4 linked regions of the Rhinolophus ferrumequinum genome follow. The protein of the gene in region 2 interacts with the protein of the main gene of each other region in a pairwise test. Links are inferred from orthologs where the notes say so. Each region holds a gene or a part of one and is shown on either strand. Other genes may lie near its edges.

Region 1 (7,924 bases), on a different chromosome or scaffold from region 2:
CACCAGCAGCGGTAGTGCTAGGAACAGATGGTCATGGCTAGTGTGTCCACTGCTGGGCACATGGCCTAGCCCACCATGCACGTGAGTGTGGGTTCCCGAGAGTCTGTGCTGTGCGGCGTGCACATCCACGAGCTCCCGGAGGGCTGCTGAGAGCCCCTGCCGGCCACTGTGCTCAGATGCAGGCACCTGTGGGTCACGGGACAGTTGACGCCAGTACCCGAGAAATTCCTATGCAGTGACACTAAGACTCTGGAGTCCCAAGCAGGGGCTGGGGGGCTTCTCAGGACCATTCAGGAGGGAGCCCCCCACAGGTCTGAGAAAGAAGCACTCTGGTTGACTGAAGACGCTCCACGGGAAGCTGCACAGTCAACCTCCCTGGCATGTGTGCTTCTCAGGGCAGAGGGCCTGGCTTCCTGCCCGGTTGGACCCGTGAGGCTGGGGGCCCAAACCATGGCACTGAGCCCGTCTCCATTCACCAGTGTGGACTTTGCAAAAGCTGTGGCCACAGCTGCTTGGGAAGCCAGAGCCAATGGGCAGCCCCCACAGCAGGACCCCTGCCCACCTGGTGCAGACGCTTCTCCAGGAAGCTGAGGAGGACACGGATCACATCCATGTTCACGCCCAGGAACTCCAGGGACCCTTCCTGCGGTTCCAGGGTGAGGAGGACATCCAGACACTGGAGGGGCAAGTTCCCCAAGAGGTTCACTGTGTGGCTGGGGACAGACGGGGGCGGGGGGCCTGCTAAATCCAGTCCCCTAGCACAGGCACAACCCTTGGTGTACCCTGCTGGGCTCCACACAACATGAACCTAAGGAGCAGCACCAGGAACCGAGGCTGAAGGGGCACTGACCTCGGGCACTCCTGCCCAGTGGGGTAGGTCCCCAAGAAGGGCAGCACTCTGTGCAGATGCCCCACCTGCCACCCTCTGTCTGGGCTAAAACATCATAGGCAATCTCTGGGAAACCAGGGTCTGCCTATGCACAGGGCACCGAAAACAGCGGTAAGGAACTACGTCGCCCTGTAGATACCATGCCACCCACTGCCACTACCCGAGGTCCAGTGGCACTTTCCTGTCCACACACAACAGCTCTTATCCTAGTACGTATTGCAAGTGCCGGGCTCTCTGGAAACACACTGATGTCTAGTCCCACTCAGATGGAAGATTCTGCAGGGTGGAGCCCGGTCCACTGGCTGGGCTGGGAACCCCATCTACGCTACCTTCTACACTGGTGAGCACACTTCCCTCCCGGGATGACAGGCCCCACACTCACCCATGGAACTCCTCCGTGCGGTCTCCAGCAGCAGCCACCATCACACAGTGCCGCAGGAGGGTCCCCAGGTGCCGGTAAAGGGCAGCATCTTCCTGACAAAGAAAAAGGTTCCTGTGACAGAGAGCCACAGTTGTCCCACCGCTGCCAGCTGGCGTGGTGTCTACCCCAGTCCAAGACCACGTGTAGTGACGTGCATCTTGTTGAGTGTATGCCCCAGCCCCCCAGAAAGAGCAATGCAGCCCCTTGGGAGTGCATCCCACTGTTTCCCAGCCCCCATGCACTCTGGTGGCAGGAGTCACCTGCAGCCTCTCACCACAGCCCTCCTGCCAGGCTCTAGGAGCCCTGGCCTCCGCGTCCCTCAGAAACCCTCCTCGAGGCCTCAGAACTGGTGTCTCCTTGCCTCCTGCCTCCTCCCTGTGTCAGACACCCGTCGGCAAGGCACGCTGACTACCCAGCAGCGTTACGCGAGCACCAGCCACCGCGCAGGTCGACTCACCTGGTCCACCTCCCTCTTAACAGAGTCGAACGTGATGTTGAAAAGCACCTTGAGGATCTCCATGGCCCGCTCTGTCTCCTGGGGAGGAAGAGACCTCGGGGTGCTGTCTTTGGGGGTCACCCCCAGCGTCAGCTCCAGCGCCTCTGTCAGTAGACGCACACCCTGCAGCTCCTGAAACAGCTGCTGGCGAACGTCGGCACGCAGCGCCGTCAACAGGAAGAGGAGGCGCAAGTCAAAGAACTGGACGTCGTGCGGGACGCCGCTCTCCCCGTGCAGCCCCACGCGCTCCGCCAGGCTCACCACCAGGCGGGCCTCTGCTGCCAGCACCTGTGCCTCCGGGCTGCTGAGCACCAGGTTGCACAGGCACTTGAGGGCCTCGAGGACAATGTCCATGTTCAGGGCCTTAGGAGCTAACCCCGCGGAGCCGGAGATGCCAGCATAGCAGGCCAGTGCCTGCAGGCTCTGGCGGCTGGTGAAGGGGTCCAGGCAGCTGCGGTCCCTGGACAGGATGCGGATGCTCTGCAGCCAGGTGACGCGGCGGGAGAGCGGCAAGCCCTGCTCCAGGCCCAAAACCAGCAGCTCCGCCAGCCTCTGTGGGCGGAGGGAAGAGTGGCTGCAGCAGGCGTGTCGGCCAGCGACCGCCCGTCCCTTCTCCTTCACCCCTCGGGCAGCACCCACCTTCCTGTCCTCCTGTTGGGCGTCCTCAAACGTGAAGCTCTGGGAATTCTGCAGAGAGACCCAAAGACTCAGGGAGCACAGGTGCACACGGGCAGGGCCCGGGTTCCCAGGAGGGCCCTGAGGCCGCAGGGACCCCTCTGCAAAGGAGCCCCACCCCTACACACCTGTTCCCGGGGCGCGCACCCCGACTCGCCCCCCAGCAACGCCTCGTAGACTCTGCGCCCCGCCCCTCCGCGCTCCCTCCCACACTCACGCACCCGCTGCCGGCCACGCGCGTGCCCCACCCTGCCCCACCGCCTCCTCGCACGTCCCACGTCCACGGCTCCGCTCACCTCCAGGTTGTACGTGCGCAGAGCCTCCATAATTACGTCCTCCTCTCCCGTCTCCACGGCATCCGCAACCGCACCGGGATCCATGGCGCCCCCGGCACGCGGCGCCGGGAAGGAGGGAGGGGCCACGCTCCGCGGTTCCGGACCGGACTCCAAACGCCTCTCCCTGACTCGATGCGTGGGGGTCGCCGGGACCGGCGTGCGCGGCGCCGCGGGGCGGGGCGGAGCTCGCGCGGGGTACGCCGGGACGGGCGTGCGCGCCGCCGCGGGGCGGGGCCTGGGCTGCGTGCGCCTGGCGGTGGCGGGGCTGGGAGCTGGCAGGCTCTGCCTCCGGGTCAGCACGGGCTTCAAGCTCCGACTCGGTGATGTTTGGAATTCGGGGCCTCGTGACTGCCCCCGCTTCTTGTGCCGGAATTCCCGGCAGGAGAGGACCGCAGCCCCCAAACCCCCACCACGCGCACAACAGCGCTCCTCTGGAGCCGCCCCACGAATGCGATGTCGGGGCAAAGCCGAGGTGAAAAGGACTTTGCAGCCCTGTGACCACTTGGTTTGTTACGTGTTCGAGTGACTGCTGCATGCGAGGCGCTGGGATGCGGGTAAACAGGACCCACACGTCCCTGTCTTCGTGGCGCTGACGTTCCAAAAGTCAAGGGCAGCCAAGAAAAAACGGACAAACGAGACGACTTCAGGCAGTCGTAGTGCTGTGATTTAAAACAGAAAGGCGTGTGGTTGTAACCGAGCGGTTTGCTCCCCCCTGCGCTGCGCGTAGCCAGTTACACTGACACTGGGTTGCCCTGAAGGAAGCCTTTATTGTAGACCGCCATGCATTGGAGAACCAGCAGCTTACGCGGGAAGAACCCGAACTCCCTGTCCGCTTGTTGGCAATTGGTTTTAAAGGGTGAAATGGAGGGTAGGGGGTCTTCAATACGTTATCAGTTCCGGGGTACCATATGATTGGTTGGAGCTGGAGTTACAAAGACATCTTAGTTCTGGTCATCAGTTCTCTGGCGCCAGCTAGCCTGATGTTTACGTGCCTGTTGGAGGTTTTGTAAAAACACTTCCAGGTACGCGTCAGTGTGTTAGCTGTGAATCCACAGGGCGAATTGGTGCCCCAGGAGCCTGATTTATGTCTGAGAAAAAAAAAAAGGGACTTGGGTCTGATTTGTTACAAACAAGAAACAGCGGGGGTCGGGGGGGTTTGCTGAGAAGGGATCGTGTCTGGGCTGCGTGGTGCGCTGCAAAGGGCTCTGCGGTGGCATTTTTTCTGAGACAGGACGCTAAGAAGTGAGCCAGGAAAGGACGTGGGGGAAGGTGATTCAAGGCAGGAGCAGCCACTTGGCAGTTGGAGAATGGCCATGGGGGAGAGAGGAGTGTGGGGAGGTCAGGATGAAGGCAGCGCCTGATCACGTGTCCGGCGCGACTTCCCAGCTGTGTAATCGGGACACACTGCCTGGCCTGTACTCAGTCTCCTCTTTTGAAAAGCACAGGTGATAAAAATTCCCATTCCAATGGTTTGTGAGGACTTATGACAGCAAATGATGTCTTCGGTGGGTGACTCCTGCAGCAAGTCTTTGTTGGGCATCCCGGTTGCGCCAGGCCCTTTGTCAGCAACGCCCGCGTGCAAAAGCGGGAAGCTCCTACCGGCCACACGTCCCCGCCACTTCCACCCCACCCCTGCCTCGCCGCACCGTCTTGTCGGAGCGCTTCACCCCTACGTCTCCTGCGGCGCTCGCTCGTTGCGGGCACCGATCTCCGCCGCGTCCCTCCAGCATTAACTGGGGCCGGGACTTCGCCACGAACCTGCGCCTTAACCGCACCGCGGCGGGCGGGGGCGGCTCCTGTCCGGACCTCGCCGCCCCTCTCTCGCCTGGGTAAGGGCCATTTGGGACCTGACGCAGCCTTCGGCGAGAGTGACGAGTGTATGTCAACACCCTCACCGGCATGGAACACACTGACGCCCCGTCCGCAAGTCAGGCCACTTCTGCTCCCACCGCACGGCCCCCGCGGCCCGGATCTCAGCCGGAAGCCGGCGGGCCCGAGCGGAAGGGGCGGGGCCGGAAGCCCCGTCCCGTGACGGCCACGTCGCCGGAGCCTGTGGCGGAAGCGTTGACGGAGCCCGGGGCCGGAGCCGCGCACGATGGCGGACTGGGCTCGGGGTGAGCGCGGGAGAGTGGAGCCGGTGGCGGCGGCCCGGCCGTCGTCGACGCCGCTGCCAGCAAGAGCCCGGCCGGCTGGGTGGCTTTGGCGGGTTGACCCGCTGGCGGGCGGAGCCAGGCCGGGCCGACCAGGCGTCAGCCGGCCCCGCCCCGCCGCCCCTGAGGGGTCGCCGGACCCGGGGGTGTCCCCGCCCTTCCCCATCGCGCAGCTGCGGGGGCCCGACGGCCACGGCCCCCACCGTCCGCACGGGCCGCAGGCCAGCCCCCGGGAGCGGAGGCTGCGTGCTGGGAGGGCGGAAGCAGGCCTCGTGGTGACTGGGGCCTGGGCTCCGAGGGCCTCGGGGAGCCCCGCCCGATGCTGATGCCGCTTTGCCGAGCTGTTTGGTCCTTAGGAGTCAGTGAACGCGAAGGGGCTGGTGGGACGTAACACCCTTTCCTTAGGGGTCTGCACATCGGTGATTCCCAGGGCTGCTCCCCCATTAGAGGGGTCACGTCGAGGCTTCTGCCCCACGGCAGGTGTACACTCTTAAGTGGGGGGCAGGTGGTTTCCACACGCCTGATGTGCCGGTAATTGCGAATCACCTGGCCCCGCCCTAGTCACTGGCAGGTCTCAGCAGGCACCACGCCCTGTGTGGGTCGCAGCCCTGATCAAATGTCATCCCTGCCCTTGGGGTCTGTTTTGGGCAGCACTGCTCAGTTGTCGGCGCTCTGGTTACTTGTCACCTCACCAGGACCCAGTTCACAGGTGTCCCCTGCAGGGACCTTCCTGCTGCCCCCTGGGTGCCTCTCCTATACCTTTCCTACATCCACACCAGTTTACTGTTTATCTCGTAAAACAGGTCCCATGTACACCATTGGTGACATCCATGGAGGGATGGTACAGGTGGTGTCATAGTACCCCAAAGTGCCAGTTTCACTGAATTGTTTGTGGTTGTACACTTTGGGGGTGCCTGCCTGTCCCGGCCTGGACATGTGCTCAGGCCATGCGCTCACACAACAGGTGGTCACGCACACTGTCACCCAGCCTGTCTCATGTGCGAAGTCCTTGCACCAGCCCCTGGGGTACAACTGGACCTGCTCAACAAACAGGTGGACCCCGTTCCCCCAGACATGACACTTGGCCAGATGGGATCGTAGTGGGAGTCCTGAGGTCACGAAGGGCCAATGCACAGGGTCAAGGGCTCATGGGTGGTTGTCCCCCTCAGCCTCTCTCTTCCTGCAGCTCAGAGCTCTGGCGCTGTGGAGGAGATTCTAGACCGGGAGAACAAGCGGATAGCCGACAGCCTGGCCTCCAAAGTCACCAGGCTCAAATCGGTCAGTAGTGGCCTCTTCTACCTCCACCTGGACCTGCTCAGGTGGGATGAGAGGGAGGGTAGAGTCCTGGAAGGGTTAAATGTGCTTCCCGTCCTTCTGTCCCATCCATGGCAGCGGTCACCTGTGTGAGGGCCAGGTGACATCTGGACCTGACTTCTGGTGGTGGCAGGGTTGTTGGCAGCGTCTGCTGGTCTTGTCGGGGGTCAGGCGCTGTCCCGTATGTCTGCCCTGGCCTGACCCTGCCCCTTCTGTCCTGACCAGCTGGCCCTGGACATTGATAGAGATGCTGAGGACCAGAACCGGTACCTGGATGGCATGGTAAGGGTCTGCGACGTGCATGAATGTCGTGGGCAGCTCTGCCCTGTACTGCCTGCTTAGCCCCCCACCCCATGCACACGGCAGCGCCCGTGTGACCCAGCTGGGATTCCTCCCGCAGGACTCGGATTTCATGAGCGTGACAGGCCTGCTCACGGGCAGCGTGAAGCGCTTTTCCACAATGACGCGGTCTGGGCGAGACAACCGAAAGCTGCTGTGCGGCATGGCCTTGGGCCTGGTCGTGCTGTTCTTCATCCTTTCGTACCTCCTGTCCAGGGCAAGGACGTGAGCCAGTGGGAGCTGGCTTCTGCGGGTGCCCGGGCTACCAAGGTCTTCCCTACCTGGTGTCCTGGGCTCCAGAGGACCTGCCTACAAAATACTCCTTTGAAATGATGACCGTGGCTTAGGCATCTTCTTCCTGTGTGGCCGGGAGCCCACGGCTGCCTCTGACTCAGCTGTGTTGGCTGGTCCCATGTGTGCAAGGGCCCAGGTGCGAGAGGCACTGGCAGAGCCATGCCTGAGCAGAACAGCTGGACGTCCTGGACACGGCTGCTCGGGGCCAGCAGCCCTTTACAGGCCCTTGGCTCTGATGTCTCAAGGCTCCTCTGCCCGGTCATCTTTGTCTGGTAAGGTCACATCTGGTGTCCGAGGTGCCTGGACCTGACACAGGAAGCGGGTGTGGCTATGGGCCTCTACTCAGCGCCATCTCCTCCAAGCAAGAGTCTTCAGCCCAGGGGTGGGAGTTACTCCTGGCTCGGGCTGCCGAGCACGGGCCCACCGCCAGGCCTCTGCCTGAAGCCAGACCTTCGGGGAAGGGCAGGGGTGTGGACGAAGGAGCGGCTGCAGTCGTGGCTGGAGGCACTGGACCTTCATCCTTCTGGATCTCGCGGCTGTGTATGTGTCAGGGTTTAAGATCTTTCCAGCACCAAAGATGTAGTTCCAGGAGAGCAGGGCTGCAGAAACGGGCCCATCTGGCACTTCCGAGTCAGGCAGGGGCAGGGAGGGGGCTTCCCTGCACCAACCCTCCTCATGGGGCCCGTAGGTCACTTTGTCAGGGTCACTGGGCAGTTTCCTCCCACAGCGAGTGTCCCCTTGCTGTGCATGAGCTCTGAGCCACACCCTCGTCCCCAGCTCCTGCACATGCCCGCCCCGCTCCCCTTTCCCTTACTGCCCACATGGCCAGCCCCCGGCTCACACAAAGCAAACCACAGGCCCAGCCAGGCCAGTGGCTTCTCACCCCACAGTGAGAACCCAGCACCCTTGACATGAAAACACGTGTTAGAAAAGGGGTCCCCGTCGGCTCTGCCCTTGTGCCTGTCTTCTGCCTTCCCAGTCGCGCCCCTGTCCACCCACCTGCCCCATCGC
Region 2 (7,100 bases):
AGCACCCAGTGCAGGTGACCAGGGAGACTGTGACACTGGGCTCCACAGGGTACCTACTACATAAGGACACCCAGCCAAGACTGCGAGACATAGCAAACCTACCTAATACATAGAAACAAACACAGAGAGGCAGCCAAAATAAGGAAACAAAAAAATACGTCCCAAATGAAAGAACAGGAGAAAGCTCCAGAAAAAGAACTAAACAAAATGGAGACAAGGAACCTACCAGAATACAGAGTTCAAAACAATGCTCATAAGGATGCCCAAGGAACTTAGTGAGAACTTCAACAAAGAGACTGAAAGCATATAAAATAACATAGAAACCATAAAAAAGAACCAGTAAGAAATAAAGAACACAATAACTGAAATGAAGACTATACTAGAAGGAATCACCAGCAGACTAAATGAAGCAGAGGATCGAATCAGCGATATGGAAGATAAGGCAGCAGAAAACACCCGATCAGAGCAGCAAAAAATTATATTAAAAAAAAAATCTTAGAAAATAAGGATAGTTTAAGGGGCCTTTGAGACAACATCAAGCACACCAATACTTGCATCATAGGAGTGCCAGAAGGAGAAAAGAGAAAGAAGGGATTGAGAACGTATTTGAAGAAATAATGACTGAAAACTTTCCTAACCTGGTGAAGGAAATAGACATACAAGTCCAGGAAGTGCAAAGAGTCCCAAACAAGATGAACCCAAACAGGCCCACACCAATTCATATTATAATTAGAATGGCAAAGGTTAAAGACAAAGAGAATCCCAAAAGCAGCAAGAGAAAGGCAACTCGTCACTTATAAGGCAGCTCCCATGAGACTGTTAGCTGATTTCTCAACAGAAACTTTGCAGGCCAGAAGGGATTGACATAAAATATTCTACATGATAAAAAACAAGGCCCTACAACGAAGATTACTCTACCCAGCAAAGCTATCATTTAGAATCAAAGGACAGGTAAAGAGCTTCCCAGACAAGAAAAAGCTGAAGGAATTCATTACCACCCAACCAGTATTAAAAGGACTGTTAGAGGGACTTCTTTAAGAAAGGGGGAAAAATCAAAATTATGAGTAATCAAATGATAATTGCTACATATCTATCAACAATTACTTTCAATGTAAATGGATTAAATGTTCCAATCAAAAGACATAGGAGGGCTGAATGGATAAGAAAACAATATATACTGCCTACAAGAGACTCCCTTCAGACTGGAAGATACACAGACAAAAAGTAAAGGGATGGAAAAAGATATTTAATGGAAACGAAAACAAACAAACAAAAAAGCTGGGGTAACAATACTTATACCAGACAAAATAGACTTTAAAACAAAGGCTATAACAAGACACAAAGAAGGACCCGGTAATCTCACTTCAGGGTATTTATCTGAAGAAACCCAAATGCTACTTCAAGGGAATGTGTGCATCCATATGTTCATTGCAGCATTGTTTACAATGGCCAAGATATGGAGACAACCTGGGTGTCTGTTGATGGAAGAATGGATACAGAGGAGCTTATACATATATATGGAATATTGCTTGGCCAAGGAAGGGAATGGGTTCTTGCCATCTGTAGTGGCCTGGATGGACCGAAGGGATATTATGCTGAGTGGGGTGTCAAACAGAGAAAGACAGATGCAATGTGATTTCATTTACATGTGGAATCTAAAGATCAAAACAAACAAACAAAACAGAAACAAACTCATAGACACAGAGAACATATTGATGGTTGCCAGATGGGAGAAGGGTTGGGAGTGAGTGAAAAAGGGGAAGGGATTAAGAAGTACAAATTAGTTGTTACAAAGTAGTTATGGGGATGTAGGGTATAGAATAAGGAATATAGTCAATAATCTTGTAATAAGTATGGTGTCAGGTGGGTACTAGATTTGTTGGGGTGATAGATGGGAGAGGGTTTGGGGCAGAATGAAAAAGGTGACAGGATTAAGAACTACAAACTGATAGTTACAAAACAGTCAAGGGAATGTAAAGTAAAGCACAGGGAATATAGTCAATAATACGGTAATAACTATGTGTAGTGCCAGGTGAGTCCTAGACTAGGCAGGGGGATCACTTCTTAAATTATACAAATGTCTAACCACTATGCTGCACACCTGAAATTAATATAAACTAATATTGAATGTCAACTATAATTGAAAAATTTTTAAAGGGAGAAAAGGTGAAGGGGAACAAAAGGTCCAAATCTCCAGGTATAAAACAAATAAATCACGGGGATGTAATGTACAGCATACGGAATATAGTCAACAAGATTGTGATAACGTGGTACGGTGTCAGATGGTTGCTGGACTTGTGGTGATCATTTCTTTAGGTATATAAATGTTGAATATATGGTGCACACCTGAAACTAATAATATTGTATGTTAGCTATATTTTAATAAAAATCTTTTTAAAAACTTTTTAAAAAGAATATAATTGGCAACCTCAAAAATGGTTTTTAGGTATAGTTACAGAAGTGGAAGTCAACTACGTGGAATTAAGCAGGAAATAGATGATAAGAAAATTGAGGCAGTACACTATAGTCGTGTGACTCTGTCAGTGAAACAAGAGAAACAGTATTACAGCTATAGTGGGCTCAACAGGAAGATGTGAAGGCGTCTTCCAAGTCAGGAAGATCTACACCTTTGAAGAAGAGGACCCAGAGTTTCTTCCTATAAGGGTGGATGTGATGCTATGATTCTTTTGTAGAAATGGACATAGATTATGGCAAATGTACTTATTGTGAAGATAGACATCTGTGAAGAGAGAGTGCTTTTCCACATATAAATCTAAAATGGACAATAAAAGAAAAACAAGATTACTAATTATATATTTTCTGTCCCATATTTCTGGAAAAACAGGCTTATATGAAAGACACATGTAATATTTTTGTCCTGTAGAGTCATTCTATTGGAGTTATCTTAAAAAGAAGTGGTTGTTTTTGTCACCACCATAAATAATAAAAGAACACAAATATTATCTGCTGTTCCTTATAATACCTTTAGGAACTAATCTTTCAGACTTTAACAACAGCCACTCTTTCTGTGGTTGCTGTTTCAGTAAACCAAGCATGAATCCAAGCTAATTTTATTGCCTGCTGGGCCTGCATTTTCCCAGCCCTAATGTAACAAAAGGGCACAGCAACACAAAAAATACAGTGTTTTCTTATTCTTGATATACTAATGTCTTTCTCCATGCTTGCACCTGTTCTAATTTAGTTCAACTATAGGCTGTATCATGAAGACTGGTTAGGAAGTTACTCGGAATTAGGGGGTTTTGAACAGATTTCACATCATATTATCATTTGTTATTAAATTCACTACCCTGAATCTTTAAGGGTTATTCTATCTCACTCACCATTTTATAATTCTTAGTGTCCCCCACTTGGCACTTTGTGTCCCAGGCACCATACTCTGGACAAAGCAGGCACCTAAGATTGGTCCTGTATCTCAGCAGGTGCATGCTGCCTTCAGGCAGTCACCAAGTCCTGTGGCGGCAGCAAATAGTTAAGAGCTTCCACTGGGGATGGAGAAATCCCTGAAGGTTGTTAAGTAAAGGAACGGAGAGCTTCTTGAGGGCAAGGACAAAGTCTTGTCCAGGGATTACCCCAATTTTATCTCAGCATGATATCTCCAACACTAGATTCAGTCCTGTACACAATAGATATCAATAATTTTGAAAGAATGAAGAAACAACAGGCCCGGCGGGGGCCTGCAAACATAGGCAACCGAATGCCATCCAGGCGTCAGAGAGCAGCTGGGCACAGGTGCTACAAGATGACGGAGCTGTTGTTTCTATTTCACAGATACTGTAATTCTTTGCTACAATTTCCATATTTTGTCTTAAAATAAAGAGGTGGGTTTGAGTTGTTTCTGCTCTTGGTTCTCACGGACTTAACTACAAGCGCGCAGCACTGCTGCGGCCCTGTGGCGCGCCCCTCGCAGCGAACACGACACTCCTTGGGGAGGAAGGAGCAGGCCAAGCTACCCGCACGCCCCGCGGCTATACCGCGGCGGTCCTGAAGGGGTCGCTGTTCCCGCGATAACCTCTATAAAGGCCCCGCCCCGCGGCCGGCGCCCGCTTGCTCCGTTGGGGCCCCGGCCCCACAGGGTCAGAACGCCAGTCTGTTCGTCTTCTGCTCGCCCCCCGCTGCCAGCGGGACGTTAGCGGCCACCCTCGGGACTGGACAGGCCCTACCTCTCGGCCACCGCCGCCGCCGCCCGTCGGGCTCGGAGGCGTGCGTTCTCGCCCCTCGCCCCGCCCTCTCGCTCCCCCTTGACGGAAACGACAGCTGCGGCGGCGGAGCTGGCGCCGCCTCCCTCCACCTACCACGTCTGCCCCCGCCACTCCCTGCCGGCGCCCCAGCCCGGCCGAGGCGCCTCCGCCTCCCCGCTAGGTCAGCCGGCAGCTCCGCCCGGCTGCCGCCCAGGATGAACATCATGGACTTCAACGTGAAGAAGTTGGCGGCTGACGCGGGCACCTTCCTCAGCCGTGCTGTACAGGTACTGGGGTTGGGCGGGTGGCGGTGAGCCGCGGGGCCAAGGCGGGGACGTCGGAGCGCCCAGCCGGAGGCCTCCGCACCCAGTCTAGCTGACCGCACGGCGGGAGAGCTGCGGCCGGAGGCCCGGCTGATGGGTGCGGCCTGGTGCCCCTGAGGGCCTGGCGTCAGTTTTCTGTACCCCTTCTGCCCACCCTCCGCTCCCGGAAAGCGAGGTGGGGTGGGGACGGAGCCTGGCGTCTCCTCCCGCCCCTGGAGGACACCTTGGGTTCGGCCTCGAGCCGAGGCACCGCACCGCCCGCCTTTCTGACCCCGACGCGGCTGCTCGTGTGACCTCCCTCCTGGGGCGGGCGGAGGCCTCGCGAGTCCCGCGGGGGTAGCAGAGAGACAAACTGTTCTTGCACCACCCCCACTCTTTCCTTTCCTCTCTTTCGCCCTCCCCGCCGAGTGAGTCTAAGAAGGAAGTTTTTTTCCTTTTCCTGCCCTTCAACCCAAAGAGCTGCCAACACAGTTCCTTCCAGCCCTCTCTCTCCATGAAAGGACGGCCCCTGGGCTTGGCAGCCCGCGGGAGAAATGGAGATCGCCAGTTGGCGTCCCGACTTTGCCAAGGCCAAGGGGAAACAAGGAGTTTGGGGCTTTCCACTCATTCTCAAAATGGGAAGCACCGGCAGTAGGGCGAGGAGAGCGAGGGGAGAGATTTATGTTGTGCCTGTAGTCACAGCGGTCTGTTTCAAACACACTTTAAGGGGCAAAGTTAAGCATCTCGAGGACCCCCACAAGGAAGTGTCAGTACTGGAGAACTTGGACAGTTTCCTACATCACCCACATTATGTCAACTCAGTGAAATCTATGAACAGATGTAAATTTCACCGCAACATGGGTTATAAACGATCTGGTGTTTAAGTTAATGACATAGTCACAGTAGCAACAGCATTCTCCTTTGTAAAGAGAAAACAAGTTTTCTAATACGGGTATCAAATGGATACTGAAATGTAAAACAGTTGTATTGCTTTACTACTTTCCTTGTCTCCATTACCCCAATTTTACTGGCACAGTGGATCTTACATTGCACTAGGCTTGGCAAAAGCATGGTAGAACTAGAACAAGGTACTAGCTGCCTGTGTTGTGAAAAAACTGTCACACATTTCGCTAGACATTTATCGAATTATCTCCAGTCCTTTCTGTAACTTTGCCAGATAGATGTTACTAACGTTAACCTCCTTTTATATATAAAGAAGCAGCCTCAGAGAGGTTAACTAACTTGCTTAACTTGCATGGCTAGTAAATAGCCGAGTACTTGCTGACCTACTACTTATTGCAAGCCACTTCTCTCTTCCTGGATAAACACTGCAGGTTTAGGATATATAGAATAATAGAATGTTACAGCCTAAAGAGACCTTCAGGATCATCTAGTACGATCTAAGCATTTCCGATCTAAGCATTTCCGTAACACTTAAGTAACAATTAAAAAATGGGAAATTCCTTCTAGTTCTTGATTTCCAAGTTTTAAAATCTGCATGGTGAATCTAGCTGCCTTAACCCTCTCTCCCCCATCTTCCATTAAAATATAAGATACATTGTAAAGACATTGAACCTTATCGTTAAAATAATTTCTTGATTTAAATTAGCCTACTTAAAATAGTTCAAAGACAAGGTACAAGAAGAGTGAGTGAATTGAGAGTCTGAAATTAAGTTTGATTTTGAGACTTAATGTTGACGGCAAAAGAGGCAGGAGAGAGGCAGAGCCTTTGGTATTGCTTTAGTGCTGATTCCCTATGATTCTAGATGCTGAATGCAGATTTTACACTATATAATGCCACTCTTTTAGATAGCTAGATACGTTTTCAGGTATATAATCCACACTGCTTAAATAGTACACATAGTAGAATTTTCTTTAGCTTGTCAGTAGACTCACTTTTTAAAATCTGGCAAAGCTCTCACAAGATGTACTACTTTCCAGATGAATTATAATTACTCATTGTTTCAAATTCTTTAGGAAAAAGCTTTTAAATTGTATTCTAATCTGTGAACTGTCGAATAATTTTGAGTCTTAAAAACTTAAGTGTTTACTTCATGTCTGCTTATCCCTACTATTTTGGACATTGGTGATACTGCAGTGAATAAAATCAACAAAACATCTGCCCTTCCAGAGCTTACAATCTAGCAGGAGATGACAAACGAGTGAATACATCAGGTGGTGATGGAGAAAAAGGCCAGAAGGGATTGGTTAATGGCACAGGTGGCAGCTGTTGCCATGTTGTATAGACATGATCAGGGCAAGCCTTTCTAATAGGAGGGGACCTCAAGGAAGTCACAGTTCACAGTTTTTTTGGAGAAAAGCACTTTAGGCAAAAGGAACAAGTGCAAAGACTCTGAGGTTACAGGGGTACTAGGCAGACCCGTTAGGGAACTATGGCCATAGGACAGGCAAAATGTGACTTAGTAAGAGTGATAGCAGGGAAGATTCAGAATCTATCCAGTACTCCTTAGACTGACTCGGGGGTATGAGAGGAAGATAGTCAAGGATGACCCCAAGGTGTTGACTTGAACCATTTAATAAGAAGGGAAAAAATTCAGGAGGAACAGGTTCCTTTAATATGTGTTTTTATAGTAAATCT
Region 3 (7,696 bases), on a different chromosome or scaffold from region 2:
AGTAAGACTAGGAATGGAATCAGATGTTGATTCTTCCATTTATTAGTTGTGCTGTCTTAGGTGAGTTACTTAACGGTTTTTACTCTCAGAGTCCTCATCTGTAAAATGGGAATAATATCAGTACCTATCTTATCTTTACCTCATAGAGCTATTATGAGGATTAAAAGATAAAACGGATAAGATATGGAAACTGTATCACACAGTAACTGACACAAATTAAGAAATTAATAAATATAGCTGCTATATCGCTCAAGAGTCTTTCAGTTGGAAGTGACTGAACCAAAAGAGAATTTATTGGCCTGAATAATTATATCAAACAATGCCTTATGGGCCAATCTTTCTGTCTATGATCTCAGCTGGACTTCCAAGGATGGGTAGTATCTGAATAAGAATTAAGAGGCACTGAGCTTTTAAATATGACACAGTTTCAAGCACTTTGCATGGGGTTATCTCATTTAATCTTCACAGCATCCAATGAGGCAGGTACTATAATCATCCCATTTTGCAAATGAGGAAACTAGGACACAGAGAGGTTAATAGCTAGAAAGTGGCAGGACTGGGAATTGAGCCCAGCTGTCTTACTTCAAAACCTTTGTGCTTAACCACTACACAAACTTCCTTTGAGAACATTAAAGGGTAAATATGTGAAGAGGATAAGGAAAGTTTCAAATAAGAAAAAATAAGGTATGAATATTTTGACTTCTGATGTTACTAATGAGTTCAATACAAAATTGTAGGTTAATTTATCTTTGCACCCACAGCATTTAACTAGTAGGCACACAAACAGCAACTAATACATGTTTGACAAAGGAATTAATTACTAGCAATCTCCATTACCTTCTGCCTTCTCCAGTTTACTTACTTTATTGTTTACTTATTTTATCTTTTTCATTTGTAAACTAACTACCCACCTCACTCATAAGTAGTAGCCAATAAACTTACACACATAGTTATTTCATTTTTTAAAAATCAAGAGAATAGTAAGCATCCTTATATAAAAACATCAGAGAGAATTTTCTAACATTGAGTGGTTTCCTGGAAAACAAAAATTTTCACCTTCTTTGGCGCCCTCTTGTGCTTTGTGGTGGAAAGTAATCAGGACTGCTGATGCATTCAGGAAACTGAATCTGGGTTTATTTTCTACACCCAGGACACACACACACACACACACACACACACACACACACACACACACAACCTTACAGATTAAACTTTTGTTTTCCCTCTCTGCATGTACTCTAATTAGTGTCAGGAATTGTAAAATGTTGTGTCACCTGGGTTTCCCTAGTCCCACTAGGCCATAATTAACCTTATCAGTTTGAATTTCCTTCAGTTCCTATTCCTAGAGACTCATACAACACACACACACACACACACACACATCCCAACTCTCTGAATTCCTTGAGAAGTTAAAGCTGCAGGTTCTCTTGGGAAGAAGAAAGCATACCCACTCTCCTCTCACTTTTTCTTCACTTAAAGGGGCCCTCGAAGCTGTGCTGATTGTTCTTCAATGTTTTGCAGAGCTTTTTGTTTGTTCACTAGTGAAATAGGCCTTTTAGCTTTTCAAGTCTCCCTGTGCCCCATAGGACTTTTACGTGGGACCCCTGGAAAGGAACAGAGGCTTAGATAGGAAGTGCAAATAACAGCTCCCTCATTGCCTTGGATCAGGTGTCGTGCCTCAGAAAATGGATGAACAGGCTGCTATTTTGGAAACTTAGTCTTAAGCTGGAACCTGCATTATATTTCCATGAAACTGAATAATTAGTGATAACATTAAAATTATTAAAATAATGGCTGACTCATCTAGTGCTTAGTAGATACTAAATACATTACTCAGTGCTTTACATGCAGTATCTCACTTCATTTTCACAAGGCCCCTATGAAGTAAGAAATGTTATTATCCCCATTTTACAGATAAGGAAACTGAGGTTTAGAAAGACTACATGTTTTGAGAGACACTACAGTTTTGAGAGAATCTGATTGGTGTGGTTGTTTGAGCCAGAAGACTGTATTTCCTATGCTGGCTCTACCACTTTCTAACTGGGTGACTTTTGGTGAGCTGTTTAACCTCTCTGTGCCTCAGTTTCCTTATCTATAATAATAATCCCTGCTTCATAAGGATATTGCAGTTATTAAATGAGCTAATACATACAAAGTGATTAATGGTACTTGGAATATATCAACTGCTATATAAGTGCTTTTTAAAAAACTGGAAGTGAAGTCCAGGTTGCTTCAGCTTACTCTATGGTCTTCCTAATGAAAAGACTATGTATCTATTCTCCTTAGGGATATTATTGGGAAATGGATCTTAATAACATGTTCTGCCATGGTGAATTTCTCCTTTCACTGTGCAGCAGAATCATTTGAAGAGCTTTAAAAACCACTGATCCTGATTCTGTAGGTCTAGGGCACGACCCTGGCATTGTTATTTTTCTAAAGCTTCAAGAAATGCCCATGTGTAACCAGAATTGGAAGTCACTGCCATAGTACTTAGATGTTTACAAAGTTCTTTTCCATAATAATATACTATTTATTCCATGTTTACTACATGATAGGTACTAAGTGCATTAATTTGGATCATCTCATTTAACCCTTCAATAGAAACTTTATAATTTAGGTAATTATTATCATTTATACTTATAAATGGGAAAACCAACACACAGAAAGTGTAAGGAACTCACCCAAAGTCACTTAGCTAGCTGGTGACAGAGCCAGGATTTTAAACCAGGTGGTCTGATGCCATGGCCTGTACAGTTAACTGCCAGCCTATACTGCCTTCCCATGTGGTGTCTAATTTGAACTTTGTTATAAATCTGTGCAGTCTGCTGGTTTTGCTATTACCCCCAATTTATAGATGAGCAGACTAAAACTAAGGACTTGACCAAATGTACACAGCTAGTCAATGCACTACCTGGGGCTTATAAATGGATCTTCTAATTTGAAGTCCCATGTTCTTCCCATAATGTTGCAGAGAACTTCAAATAACTAAATACGATAGCTATTTTATAAGGTCTTTTAAATGCGTTACTTCCTCCTCTTTCCTGCAGTGACTGCTTTGGTCTATGCCTTCATCCCACAGGTTACTCTGGCAAGAGCTTTAACCAAAAGCCCTCTTCTATCTTTATCCCTTCTCTGCACATTACTTCCAGCTTCATCTTCATTCACTAAGAGTAGAGCTCATCAAGCAACACTTTTTCTTAAAATTTGACTAACATTTGTCCTGTTTGCCATCTGTAGTGGGTTGAATAGTGGCCCCCAAAATGATAGTTATACCTCCTAATCCCGAGAACTTGTGAATGTGAACTTGTTTGGAAAAAAGGATCTTTACAGATGCAGTTAAGCTAAGGATCTCCAGATGAGACCATCCTGGATTATCTGGGGTGTGCCCTAAATCCAAAGACAAGTATTCTTATATGAGACAGAAGAGAAGACATATAAACACAGAGGAGAATGCCATGTGATGACAGAGGCAGAGATTAGACTTTTGTAGCTGCAAGCCAAGCAATGCCTGGAGCCACCAGAAGCTGGAAGAAGCAAGGAAACATTCTCCCCTAGAGCCTCCAGAGGGAACATGGCCTTGCTGACACCTTATTTCAAATTTCTGGCATCTAGAACTGTGAGAGAATAAATTTCTGTTGTTGTAAGCAACCCAGTTTGTGGTCATTTGTTACTTACAGCAGCGGTAAGACACGAATACACCATCTCTTCACTTCTTCTTGACTTTCAGGGCTCATGACATCTCTGTTTTCCCTCGTCATTTGGCCCCATATCTTAAATAAACCCTCAGTTCCATCTGGTGCTCGCTCCTTCGCTGCATGGGACCTTTAGGTTCTTTATGTGCCTTCCTCATGTTGCTTCCTCTTTATTAGAAAGAAGACATGCTATCTCAACAGAATTCCCCCTCAGAAAGGGACTGTCTTTGAGGTGGGGAAGGAGCTGAGCTCTGGCAGGACATGAGGGTGGTGTGGCAGGGCACCCTTTGCCCGTGAGCCCCTTCTCATGTTTTCTACCCACCACCTCTTTAACCCTGCCCTGTGTTGTCTCTATTAAAGAGACTGCCCGAGGCTTACTACTGGCACAAGTCATGCACATCCTCGGGCATCATCTGTAAAGTAAGAATGTTTGACCTCTTAGTCTCCTCTAAGATATAAAGAAATCCATCCATGCAAAAAATGTTCTTGAGCAACTACTAAGTGCTAAACACTGCCCCAAGAGCTGGGGCTACAGCCGTAAAATAGGTGTCCTGCCTTACCTCCCAGGGTAGAGTCTGCCAGGGTTGATGAATACTGTGCTTCCAGTCACTAGGACGCCTAGAGGGGAGGGATGAGGAGTGTGTGCATGTATAGGGACAGTGACACCCAAGAGAGGCAAGGAATCGGTTTGTTTTATTCCTGTTTGGGGTGGTTGGATTTGACATGGTGAATTCGAGATGCAGATTTCCAGCACACATTTGAAATTGCAGGTTTTGAAAGGGATCAGCCAAAGTCAAGTCTGTTGGCTGAGGCCGTGGATGTGGGTAAGCTCAGCCCAGGTGATGAGGAAGAACGCCGAGGAGAGGGTCCTGGAGGTCTCGGAGCACCGTACCTTGCCCGGTGCTGCGCACGTGCTCCTGGGCGGGTGCAACCAGAGCCCAAACTTCTGGTCTGACTAGTGCTCTCTTCCCCAGGTCCCGCCCCTGTGGGCGGGGCTAGCAGCGACCCGAAAGTCACCCGGAAGACTAAGTGCAGTAGGCACGGGCTTGTTCGCCTTCGATACCTGAGGCGGACCTGGGAGGGGCGCCCACCGAATGGGGTGAGAGGACAAGGAACCCTTGGGAAGGAGGGATGCCCGGATGCTCAGGCCTGTGGCACTGAGCGCTGCGGCGGTGGCGGCGCTGCTGGCCGCCCTGGTGGCTGCCTTGCTTCTGCTGCCGCTTGAGGACGCAGGGCTGGGGGCCAGCTCCAGGTAACCCCTCCACGTAGGGGACCGAGCTGGGTCCCCGCCTCCTCCCTCTCTTTCCCCCTCCCTCCTGTCCCCTCTCCCCCGTACCCTGTGGGCGGAGGAAGGAGGGATCCGAACTAAGGGTACCGTGGGGGAACGAGGCCTTTTGGTGCCAGCAGTTTGTGTTCCCTTCCGAGGTGTGGGTTGTCTCAGGTGCTGGGGATGTGCCAAGAAACCCCGCCCTGCAGGTGACTCAGTCCTTTCCCCTGGGCCCAGGCTACGGACAATAACAATCTCTTCCTCCAGCACGAATAAATAATCCTTGTTACCCAGGGTAAGCCAGGCCACCCCTTAAACAGCCGAAGATCAGCACCTGTTGATGTTATTTCTGTAGCATGGCCGAGACAGAGGCGCTGCCGAAGCTTCGGGAAGACTTCAAGATGCAGAATAAATCCGTCTTTATTCTGGGCGCCAGTGGGGAAACCGGCAGAGTGCTCTTAAAAGAAATCCTGGAACAGGGCCTGTTTTCCAGAGTCACAGTCATTGGCCGGAGGAAACTGACCTTTGATGAGGAAGCTTATAAAAATGTGGTGGGTATTGGCGCTGGGACTCAAAAATGTACCAACAGTCATTCTGCGGGGTGAAATATTTCATGCTTAAAGGCTGACCATTGCCCGGCTAATGGAAGCGGCAAGAGCTGATCAGAATGTGCCAAGACTGGTCTGTGAGAGCCCTTACTGAAAGCTGGAGTCCTGGGTTGTGGGCCCAGATCCGCCTCCCTCACTGTATAACGTTGGGCAAAGTCCTCTCAGTCTTGGCACCTGTTAGGCTGGGTGTAGTTTGTAATGGAGGCTGTGGAGACGGAGAACAACACTTCCAGGGTCATTCAATGCTGGGTTCTAGAGGCAGTCCACTTTGCTTGTTTTGTCTCCCTGTCCCATCCTCACTAACGTTAGTGAATCAGAAAATGCTTTGCCAAACAGGGAAGGTCTATGGCTGTGGAAGTGTTGTTCATTCCCTTTCAAGAATTTGCCCTGCCTGACTTGCCAGGGCTGCAGCCTTGTGTCTGTAAGTGTAATATTCCCCTGACTGTCACTTACACTTTCATGGTTAACCAAATGATACACAAATTCAGTCTGGTGCAGATCCCCTAAATATTTGAAGTCTGAGCTTTATAGAAATTCCTTCCCCTGCATTTAAACTGAATTCGTGAACTTAAGTAAATTGAACTATAGTATAATCCCGAGACCCCATAATTGTAGGACTTGGTCCCACAGGTTTCACAGGTAGAACATTCCAGATGGTCTCACAAATAAATGTTCGTGACTCCTGCAGGTCCTATTCAGGTCATTTTGCATATGTCTTTGGTCCACCAGGACTTTTCTGTTTAAAATGGATATCTTTGCTCAGACTTAGGCAGTAACATGTGGGCTTCGTGGTCTGGCTCTATGGGACGTGTCACACACTTCTGGTAATTAGAAACTGAAATCGAGTTCTGTGCTTTGCACGTCTTTTGGTCAGGCACTTTGTGCAAACATCTTTTTCTTCATTGTGTACAGTGCCAGGAAAATTATTTTGAAAGAGTTGAGGGCAGGGAAGGAAAGCAACATTATATTTCAACTCTTGTATGATGGGAATTTCTCAAACTTTCTTTTTTAAGTTTCATGACAAACTTATGAGGTTAGATGGAGGTTCTTAAATTTCAGTGAGCGTGAGAATTACCAAGGGTGCTTATTAAAAGTGCAGTTTCTGACTCAGAAGTATTGGTCTAAGAATAGACCTAAGAATATGCACCCTTTTATCAAGCACCCACTGATTGATTTTAATGCAGGTGCTTCATGGATTGGACTGAAGGAAAGATTATCATTCGCATTTAACTGCTGAAAAACTGAGGCACGTGATAAATAGGCTAAAATTACAGGCCTAGGAATTAGCTGGCCCAAGACTTAGGACCTAGGTCTTTGAAATTCTAAACACCATTCCCTGCCCCCATATTATACCTTATTGGTATCCCTCTTGGCAATATACAGACAGGTCTTTTATTTTTCCAGAGAGAAAATTATAATTGAACGTGACTTTTGAGATCTGGATCACCCCTAGTTCAATTATGTGTACTGTGTCCATATAAGCGCATTGTTGATTTTGAATTTAGATTAATTGCTTTTTGGTGGGAGGAAATGAGCTTGCAAAATTTGATGTTAAGAGGGTAGACTCTTCAGTAATGTTCTTAATTGATTTTTTAAATCTAGGGTATTTTGTCTTTTTAAAAAGGTAACATCAAATTGTATACAGCTGTGTCTTTACTATCTAGAATCAAAAAGTGGTGGACTTTGAAAAGCTGGATGACTATGCTGCTGCCTTTCAAGGTCATGATGTTGGATTCTGTTGCCTGGGTACCACCAGAAAAAAAGCCGGGGCGGTAAGGAAGAACTATATATACCCCGTTCTCTTTTCACTGGCCAGTAATGTCAAAGATTCCTTTCTTGCTCACTCTTTTCCTTTACATTTGCAGTGCTTAAATATAAACAAGCTCTTATCATTTAAGATTTCATATGCTGCCCTATTCTTTGCTGTACTTTGAATAGTGCTGATAAGTTCATCTTTCCCTCAATGTAATCCTTGAGTTCAGGCCTGTGTGCTGGAGACATCATACATATTTACAATGTCTTGCCTCTTGCAAATATTGCTGTCACTATATACCCTGGCTGAGGTAAACCAACTGACTCATGCTGTTAGCAGTAAGCATTTTTTTTCTTCCTTTTTCTTTATAAATGTC
Region 4 (7,893 bases), on a different chromosome or scaffold from region 2:
TATAAGTATGTCCATGCAATATTTAGGACATACTTATACTCAAAGTATCTGTTCTTTATGTGAAATTCAAATGTAACTGGGTGCTCTGTATTATATCTGGAAACCCCGGGAGGACATTCAACCCTCCTAACCCACTCACTGCCACCTGACCCCTCCCGACCCCCCCACGCCTAAGGACAGCAAATGTCCCCTGCTCTTCCCAACATCGTAGGGGCCGAGTGGGCCGGCAGCGCCCCTGACCCAGACACACAGGGGAGCAGAGAGGGGCTGCTGGCTCTGGAAGCCCCTCCCCAGAGGTTGGGGTCTCTGAGGCAGGCCTGGGTCCTGGGCTCCAAGGGTCTCGCGGGGGGTCGACAAACTCCCTGTTGCAGGCACAGCAACTGTTGAATGAGCCCCGAGTCCAGCTCTTCCCTGGCTCCCCTGGGTGGTGTCTCTCCCTGTCACCTTTGCCCGCAGGTGGACTGGCCCTCTCTGATGCAGTAGAAAAAGGGGAACCCATCAGAGGCCTCTAGAAAAGAGGAAGGTACAGCTCGTGGGTGGTTTCAGGGGAGGAGTGCTCGACCAGGGGCTGAAAATGAGGAACCCTGGCCAGGCAGGACCTACCTGGAGAAGGTCATTGCCTCTGCTGGAACCAGAGGAAACAGGATCCAGACCAGACGGGGGTTTCCAGCCTGCACTCACCCCCTTTCCTGGGAAGGAAGATGTGGAGGGATGGGGGACGCAAACCATGAGCAAACAGCCTGGGGGCTCCAGCAGCAGCCCCACCAGCTGGCCTCTGCTGCTCTCCAGGGTGGTGCAGAGTGGGATTTCCTGGGGAGCTCCCTCGCACTGGGAGAGCTGGGGGCACCTAGCATAGGCCTGGGCAGGGAACTGCTACCCCAGCCTTCTCCTGGACACGACTACATAGTCTTTGCCAACTCTCACACAGCCTGATCCCACAGCTGCTTCTGCCTGCCCGGCTCCCTTCCCAACCGCGCAGGGACCTCCAGAAGTTGGGGAAGGTCCCACAGCAAGCTTGGTCCAGGGTCCTGGGAAGCCCTGCATTTTCCCCAGTGAGACCCCGGCCTCCGCTCAGGAAGAGGTTAAGGCTGTCAACTTCTGGCCTGTCTATCCACCTTCAGTTTGAGGAGGAGAGGTGCGCTCAAGGTGTGGGTGGCATGGGACAGGGGAAGATACAGGCGGAGGAGGGCCTGGGAGGGGTGTGGCCGCCATGGGCTGGAAGGCTGTGTCCCAGGGGCGGGGCACAACTTGAGGGCCCCCACACCTGGGAACCCTTTGTGAGCCCATCACTGGGTGTCGCGTCTCCCCCCAGCAACAGTGACTCACAAAGCCAGCCTCTTCTGGGCCCTTGAAGGCCCAGGTCACAAAGGCCATTAAGACCAAGCCCTGAGGAGGCATGTCCCAAGACAGCCCCGCGGCGGGCTGGGCCTGGGCCTCCCACCTCGACCCCGGCCCAGGGACCGGGCATTAGGGTTAGCGAGGAGCACCCAGTAGCTTCGACGCCCATGTGTGTGGTCTGCTTCGTGAAGGCGCTGGTGCACGTGTTCAAGATCTACCTGTCCGCCAATTACACCTACAACTTCCGCAGCTGGCCGGTGGACTTCCGCTGGGATGACGTGCGCGCCGCCGGACCGGGTGGCAGCGTTTACGGCGCGCTAACATGCGCGGCGGCTGCAGCCGGCGTGTGGCTGCTGCAGGGAGCGGCGCTGGGTGGGGACGCGCCTGGGAGGCCAATGCGGGGGGCGCGCAGCCAGGCGCTCTGCCTCCTGCAGCAGATCCGCGAGCTGCCGGCCCAGCTTGCCAGCTACGCACTGGCCCACTCCCTGGGCCGCTGGCTCGTGTACCCCGGCTCCATGTTCCTGATGACGCGCGCGCTGCTGCCGCTGCTGCAGCAGGGCCAAGAGCGCCTCGTGGAGCGCTACCTCGGCCGGCGCGCCAAGCTGGTGGCCTGTGACGGCAACGAGATCGACACCATGTTCATGGATCGCCGGCAGCACCCGGGCAGCAGCGGTCGCGGCCTGCGCCTGGTCATCTGCTGCGAAGGTAACGCCGGCTTCTACGAGATGGGATGCCTGTCGGCGCCGCTGGAAGCCGGCTACTCGGTGCTGGGCTGGAACCACCCGGGCTTCGGGGGCAGCACCGGCGAGCCCTTCCCTCAGCACGACGCCAACGCCATGGACGTGGTGGTCAAGTACGCGCTGCACCGCCTGCACTTCCCGCCTGCACACGTGGTGGTCTATGGCTGGTCCATTGGCGGCTTCACGGCCACCTGGGCCACCATGACATACCCGGAGCTGGGTGCACTGGTCCTCGATGCCACCTTCGACGACCTCGTGCCGCTGGCCGTGAAGGTCATGCCCCACAGCTGGAAGGGACTGGTGGTGCGCACCGTGCGCGAGCACTTCAACCTCAATGTAGCAGAGCAGCTGTGCCTCTACCCCGGGCCGGTGCTGCTGCTCCGGCGCACGCAGGACGACGTGGTCAGCACTTCGGGCCACCTGCGCCCCCTGCCGTCCAGCGACGTGGAAAGCAACCGCGGCAATGAGCTGCTACTGCGCCTGTTGCAGCACCGCTACCCGGCTGTGATGGCGCGTGAGGGCCTCGCCATCGTGACTCGCTGGCTGCGCGCTGGCAGCCTGGCACAGGAGGCCGCTTTCTACGCGCGCTACCACGTGGACGACGAGTGGTGCCTGGAACTGCTGCGCTCCTACCGCGCGAGCTGCGACGACAAGCAGGAGGACGAGGAGGCCTGGGGGCCCCACGGGCTCGCCTTCCCGTGGCTCGTGGGTCAGGGCCTCAGCCCACGGCGGCGCCGGCAGCTCGCGCTGTTCCTGGCGCGCAAGCACCTCAAGAACGTGGAGGCGACTCACTGCAGTCCGCTGGAGCCTGAGGACTTCCAGTTGCCCTGGAGGCTGTAGCCCGTCCCCTTGCAGCGCCAGACTGCATATTCGCACACCTTCTGGGCCTCAGGTCCGTTCTCCTCCCCACACACCGACCAGTGAAGCTGGTCCCGCCTGGGGATCCCGACCTGGTGTCTGGGGGAGGGGAGGGTGTTCCCCACTCCCTTCTTTCTCTTCCTCCCTCGAACACTTGTGGATGTCCCAGTCTGCTCTCAACCCCTAAAGGGAATGCAAAGATTAAGCTGACCCAACTATTGGCAAGCTGTGTGATGGGTGCCTTGATCACCTCAAAAGGATGGTGGGAGCCCTAGGCCGTGCCCTTCACCTGGCCTGAGTTACAGGCTGGCTCTGGGAAGGACGGTGTGGAAGGGTCTGTGCAAGTCGCCCCCAGCTGTAAAGGACGTTGGCATCGGAGGTGTATAGAGCAGGTCTTAGCAGCTGCACCTTCCTGGAGTGTGATGCTGCTGCTCCGTAGTGTCCCCTCCCCCCTCCGCTCCTAGCTTCTACCAGAGGCATGCACAGTCTCTGTGGGACCACAGTCTCAAAGGAACAGGTACACACAGCGGCAAGCCCACACAGGGCTGCAGACACACCTGCACTGCCACTCACTGCCGAGCACCTCCTTGAGCCAGACCTGGACTGGGCTTTGTTCCTGGCTCAGGGATGCAATGCAGAAAGAGACAAACTCTCTGCTCACCACCACTTGTCATAGAGTTGCTTCCTTGCCATCTGCCCTGAACGGCATGAAGCAGGGACTGCTTGCTGGGTGTCCCTTGCCTCTGGGGACAAGGGCTGGCCGGGGTGGGTTGAGAAAGAAACTCTGGAAAAACTGAAAAAGGTAAGTGGGGCGCACATATGAGTAACTGATCACACCAGCACAGGGTACAGCCATGATGCACCTTGGCCAGTGAAAGCAGAGGCAGGTACTTAAAGTGACCAAAGTACCAGGAAGATGTCTGTGATGAGGAGGTGAGCTTTGAGCTAAGACAGGAAGAGGAATTAGTCAGGAGGTGAGGGAAGGGGCTTGTGTGCCTAGGGATCAGAGTGGCTCGGTTGCAAGGAGAGTAGTTCCAGAAAAGTCAAATCCTGAAGGGTCTGAATACCATTGAAGGATTTGCTTCCAGGGGCAATTAGGTGACAAAGATGGTAAGTTGTGGGACTTGTCTCAGGGAGACAGACAGGTTGCCAGACAGTTACACATATCTCCTATGAGAAGTTAGGCCAACTCTCATTCCAGAGTCTGCTGGAAGCCCCTCAACTAGCTGAGTGACCTTGGGCAAGTGACTCTAACCTAAGTGTCCTCATCTGTAAAGCGGGGAGGGCTCCACCTGGTTCAACCCGTGGCTGTGAAAAGGAACTGCGAGAACACCGGCCGAACGCTGCACAGGGCCGGAGCGCTTCCCGGCAGGCGTGCTCATGCCCTGCGCGTGCATGACGCCCGGTGCCCGCCCGGGAACCTAGACGCCTCCAACCAGGTGAGGGCAGCGGCGCTTGCAGCGCAAGAGGACGGATCGTGGTCACGTCTTTTTCTACGCAACCCCCATACAATAAAAAAATCTCCGTAAATGGACGGACTAAACAACAACAAAAAGACAGACTGGAGGGAAAGGCTAACCCCTAAGTCAGGGAGTCGGGCCTTGGAGGGATCGCAAGCGGTCTGAGTTTGACCCGTCCAGCTGCGTGTGCTGTGGCGCTCGTAGGGAGCGGCAAGCATCCCCGAGACCTCCACAGGGCGGGGGTGGAGAGGCTCCACGGCGCCATGTTGGACGATCTTCCCACTTCCCACCTTCCCAGGGTTCCTTCGGACCGTTCTACCTGTGCGTCTCGCTGGTGGAGCCGGCCTGGGAGGGATTCCTGTCCGGCTTCGTTCTCAGCCGTGACCAATCGGGTTGGAGCGGATGAACAGGGACTGGGCCAAGCAACGCCCTTATTGGACAGCGCTGGTGAGGGCGGGACGAAGGCGGAGCGCACGTCAAAGCGGAAGTGGGCCGTCGCCTCGCTGATTACGTAATGTCGCGGCGGCTGAGGCGGTTCCGCTGGCTGGTGTGTGCGCGGCGAGCGACTCCCAGTGCGGCCCGCTCAGCTACTACAGCGCCCGCGACCCCGCAGGCCCGTACGCCGCCTGAACATGGACTCTGCTGGCCAAGGTACCCGCGGACGCGGCGCCTCCGTCGCCTGCGGGCCCGGACCGGCCCACGCTCCGCCCTCCCCGGGGTCGCGTCTGGGTCTCTCTGTCACCTCCTCCGCCCGCCCGCCCCCGGCCGGTGGTCAGCTCCCAGGCGCTCGACCGCGAAGCTCCCGGTGGTCGTGGCGAGGGTCTTCCGCCCGCGGCTTGGGCCGCTTCCCTCCGCTGGGACCCTCCCTTGGTTCCCCGAGTTTTGGGTTTTCTCACTCCGGGCAGCGCTCATTATGCCACCGCCCGGCGCTCGCCCGCTCGGCCGCTCGGCCGCTCTCCGTCCGTGCCCGGGCCTTTGGAGACACTCCCATCTGGATCTGGGCTGAGGTGTTGTGCGCGGCTCGCGGGGAGGGACGCGGAGGGGAGGTGACCCGCCCTCGCGTGGAGCGCAGCGCCCCTTGGGTGGCGACGCCGCTCGGGGCCCCGCCGACTTCGGGATCGTCTCCCGGAGGGAAGGGTGCAGTGAGTCAGGGGCACACCCGGCACACCTGGCCTGCTTCCAGACCAGACAGCCCAGAGCAGTCGGAGATGCCGCCGGGGGGTGTGGAGCGGGCCCGGGAGATTAAAATCTGCAGAAGGTGATACAAGTCAGTCCTCATCCTGAGGCTCCGGGGAGGCGGTGCCGAATGCCTGCGTTGACATAACTTCACGGGAGAATCTCAGCAAGCTTTCCTGCTGTTTGACCTTAAACGTTAGAATCCCTCGCTTCTGATGACATTCTGTAGACTTTCCTACTTTTGAGGACGACTTACAAAATAATTGAGCATGAAAAGCCCAGGGCTTTGATACTTCAGGAGGCTTTTCACGGTTGGACTTGCACCTCTGATTTAGGTCAGTGTCACAAGCCCTGGGCTCTGATGGTGAGACAGACAGGACACAGTAACTGGGCACTTAACTGTGTGCCAGACACCTTGCTAAGCTTGTGTCTCAAATGATCTCCTTCCACTTTCAGAATAACCCTCTGAGAGTAGAGTGTCCTTGTCTTGGCTGCATTTTGCAGATGAGTATACAGGGTTAGACAGCTGGGGCTCCCAGGGTGAAGGACTCTGGCCCCCAGATTTGCCTATGGCACCAGCCCCACGCTTAGTCTCTGTGGGTCCTTTGATAAGACACTTGGCTGCCTCGGCGTCCTCTAAGGAGGCATCTAGCTGCGGGGTGTGCTGAGGTGGTGTCACCAGCATGTCCAGTGCCTGGCATGTTTGGTAAGTGCCCAGTTTCTACCTGGGGGTGACTTCCATGGGATCCAATTTTAGCTTTATAGCCAGATTAGAAGATAAAACCTGTGGCGTTTTTTTTAAGGCATTTACTGAATTTGAGTGGGTTCAGCATAAAGGGTACAAATGATGAAGTCAGGTAGGTGATTTCAGTTAAACATCAGAATCAACTTCATGTAGTAAACACCTGTTGAGCACCAAGGACGTACACAGCTCCAGTTGCAGGACATGTGGGGGGCTAAGAAGGCATCTTTGCTTTTGATTGCACTCAGTCTATATTTAGCAGACTAGGATTTCTACAGTGGACAAACATACCTGCCATTAAGGAGACGTCTACTGCTTTCTAACCTCTGTGCCTTTTCTTTTAACTGATTTTTAAACGTGCCACACTCCGTACAACGTCTGTTTCTTCACAGAGTGTGCTGATCAAAGGGAGGGTGTTTTCAGTGCTGAGAGTGTAAATGTACTAAATGACAGTCGTATGTCTAGAGTTGGAAAGAACTGAGCAGACCCATGTTTCCTTGCATGGGATCTTCCAAAGTTCATGTAGAAAGAAAGCTGAATTTACTGTGAGCTGCAGGAACATGAACCTGATCTGGGCATAGCAGAGGGGTGGAGACACTGTGCCCTCTGCACCCACTGTGAGCTGCGGGCCCTGCCTGTGAGGGCCCAGGATGGACTCACAGGGACTTTTGTTTTGCCGAAACCCTGCGGGGCTGGTGACAAGCGCGTGCTCCATGGCTGTGAGTGTGGTGTGCGCTCTGGCAGATCAGTGTTTGGAAAGTGGTGCTTGTTGTGTGTACAGCCGTATTGGGTTCCTTTGCTCTAAAAATGGCAGATCTGTTAGATCGGGCTGCTTTGTAGCGAAGGTTTCCTGTCTCAGAAGGTAACACTCCACAGGGGAAACAGAGTTAGGGTATGGCTGCCGTGCACCGCGTGTCTCGGGCCCAGAAGCAGCATCGGAGTGGACTGTGGTGTGGCTGCTGCAGTCCAGTGGCCACACAGTCCTCACAGAACCTTTGAGAGCAGAGGCACTGTTAGTCCCCGGCTCCCTCTCCCAACCCCCTGCCCCTTGCCCCTGGCCCCCTGTCCTTTCAGCCTTGCTCTCTCCCTTGGTGGAGCCCTCTACCCTGTTTACTTCTCTGTACCTTCTTACTTGCCGCTCTCTGGCCTCATTTTGTCCCTGGCAGATATCAACCTGAATTCTCCTAACAAAGGCCTGCTGTCCGACTCCATGACAGATGTCCCTGTTGACACTGCAGTGGCTGCCCAGACTCCTGCCGTGGAGGGGCTGACGGAGGCCGAGGAGGAGGAGCTCAGGGCCGAGCTCACCAAGGTGCTGTCCGGGGTTACCAGCAGGCGAAGCCTGTAAGCTCATGAGAGACTGCGATGCTGGCTGTGCTGGCAGAAATTACCCTGAGAGGCTGTCCCTGGAGCCCCAGAGAAACTGCCCTTTGTATCCTGTGCTTTGTACGTGCCTGGCACTGGTCACTGCTGCCTGAGGATGGCCACACAGGGACAGCCACTCCGGGCACACCCTCTGCTGGCAGTCTCTCTGTTGGAATTAATACCATGTTTTCAAGACCCCATGAGTCTTATCTGC

What was found.
Region 1: the proteins of SH3GLB1 (region 2) and RIC8A interact in binary tests that used the Homo sapiens proteins (3 or more experiments, as listed by UniProt). The link is inferred for Rhinolophus ferrumequinum from reciprocal best matches to the Homo sapiens genes SH3GLB1 and RIC8A.
Region 3: the proteins of SH3GLB1 (region 2) and HTATIP2 interact in binary tests that used the Homo sapiens proteins (3 or more experiments, as listed by UniProt). The link is inferred for Rhinolophus ferrumequinum from reciprocal best matches to the Homo sapiens genes SH3GLB1 and HTATIP2.
Region 4: the proteins of SH3GLB1 (region 2) and TPD52L2 interact in binary tests that used the Homo sapiens proteins (3 or more experiments, as listed by UniProt). The two-hybrid records come from large-scale screens. The link is inferred for Rhinolophus ferrumequinum from reciprocal best matches to the Homo sapiens genes SH3GLB1 and TPD52L2.

What each region holds. Positions count from the first base shown.
Region 1 is NC_046294.1:33,256-41,179, reverse strand, and holds the start of RIC8A (synembryn-A), read right to left. Parts: upstream 3,012-7,924; 5' UTR 2,862-3,011; coding exon 2,778-2,861; intron 2,494-2,777; coding exon 2,446-2,493; intron 2,359-2,445; coding exon 1,768-2,358; intron 1,364-1,767; coding exon 1,272-1,363; intron 714-1,271; coding exon 563-713; intron 1-562. Other genes in the region: BET1L (BET1-like protein), read left to right, coding at 4,716-4,930, 6,136-6,244, 6,506-6,562, 6,681-6,848.
Region 2 is NC_046292.1:65,169,251-65,176,350, forward strand, and holds the start of SH3GLB1 (endophilin-B1), read left to right. Parts: upstream 1-4,093; 5' UTR 4,094-4,414; coding exon 4,415-4,486; intron 4,487-7,100. UniProt on the Homo sapiens protein: May be required for normal outer mitochondrial membrane dynamics. Required for coatomer-mediated retrograde transport in certain cells. May recruit other proteins to membranes with high curvature. May promote membrane fusion.
Region 3 is NC_046294.1:34,026,702-34,034,397, reverse strand, and holds the start of HTATIP2 (oxidoreductase HTATIP2), read left to right. Parts: upstream 1-4,693; 5' UTR 4,694-4,786; coding exon of another isoform or gene 4,787-4,791; 5' UTR 4,792-4,831; coding exon 4,832-4,944; intron 4,945-5,253; exon of another isoform or gene 5,254-5,314; coding exon 5,315-5,510; intron 5,511-7,231; coding exon 7,232-7,339; intron 7,340-7,696. UniProt on the Homo sapiens protein: Represses translation by preventing reactivation of elongation factor eEF1A. May also inhibit nuclear import by competing with nuclear import substrates for binding to a subset of nuclear transport receptors.
Region 4 is NC_046306.1:288,544-296,436, reverse strand, and holds the start of TPD52L2 (tumor protein D54), read left to right. Parts: upstream 1-4,892; 5' UTR 4,893-5,028; coding exon 5,029-5,047; intron 5,048-7,480; coding exon 7,481-7,626; intron 7,627-7,893. Other genes in the region: protein ABHD16B, read left to right, coding at 1,506-2,918.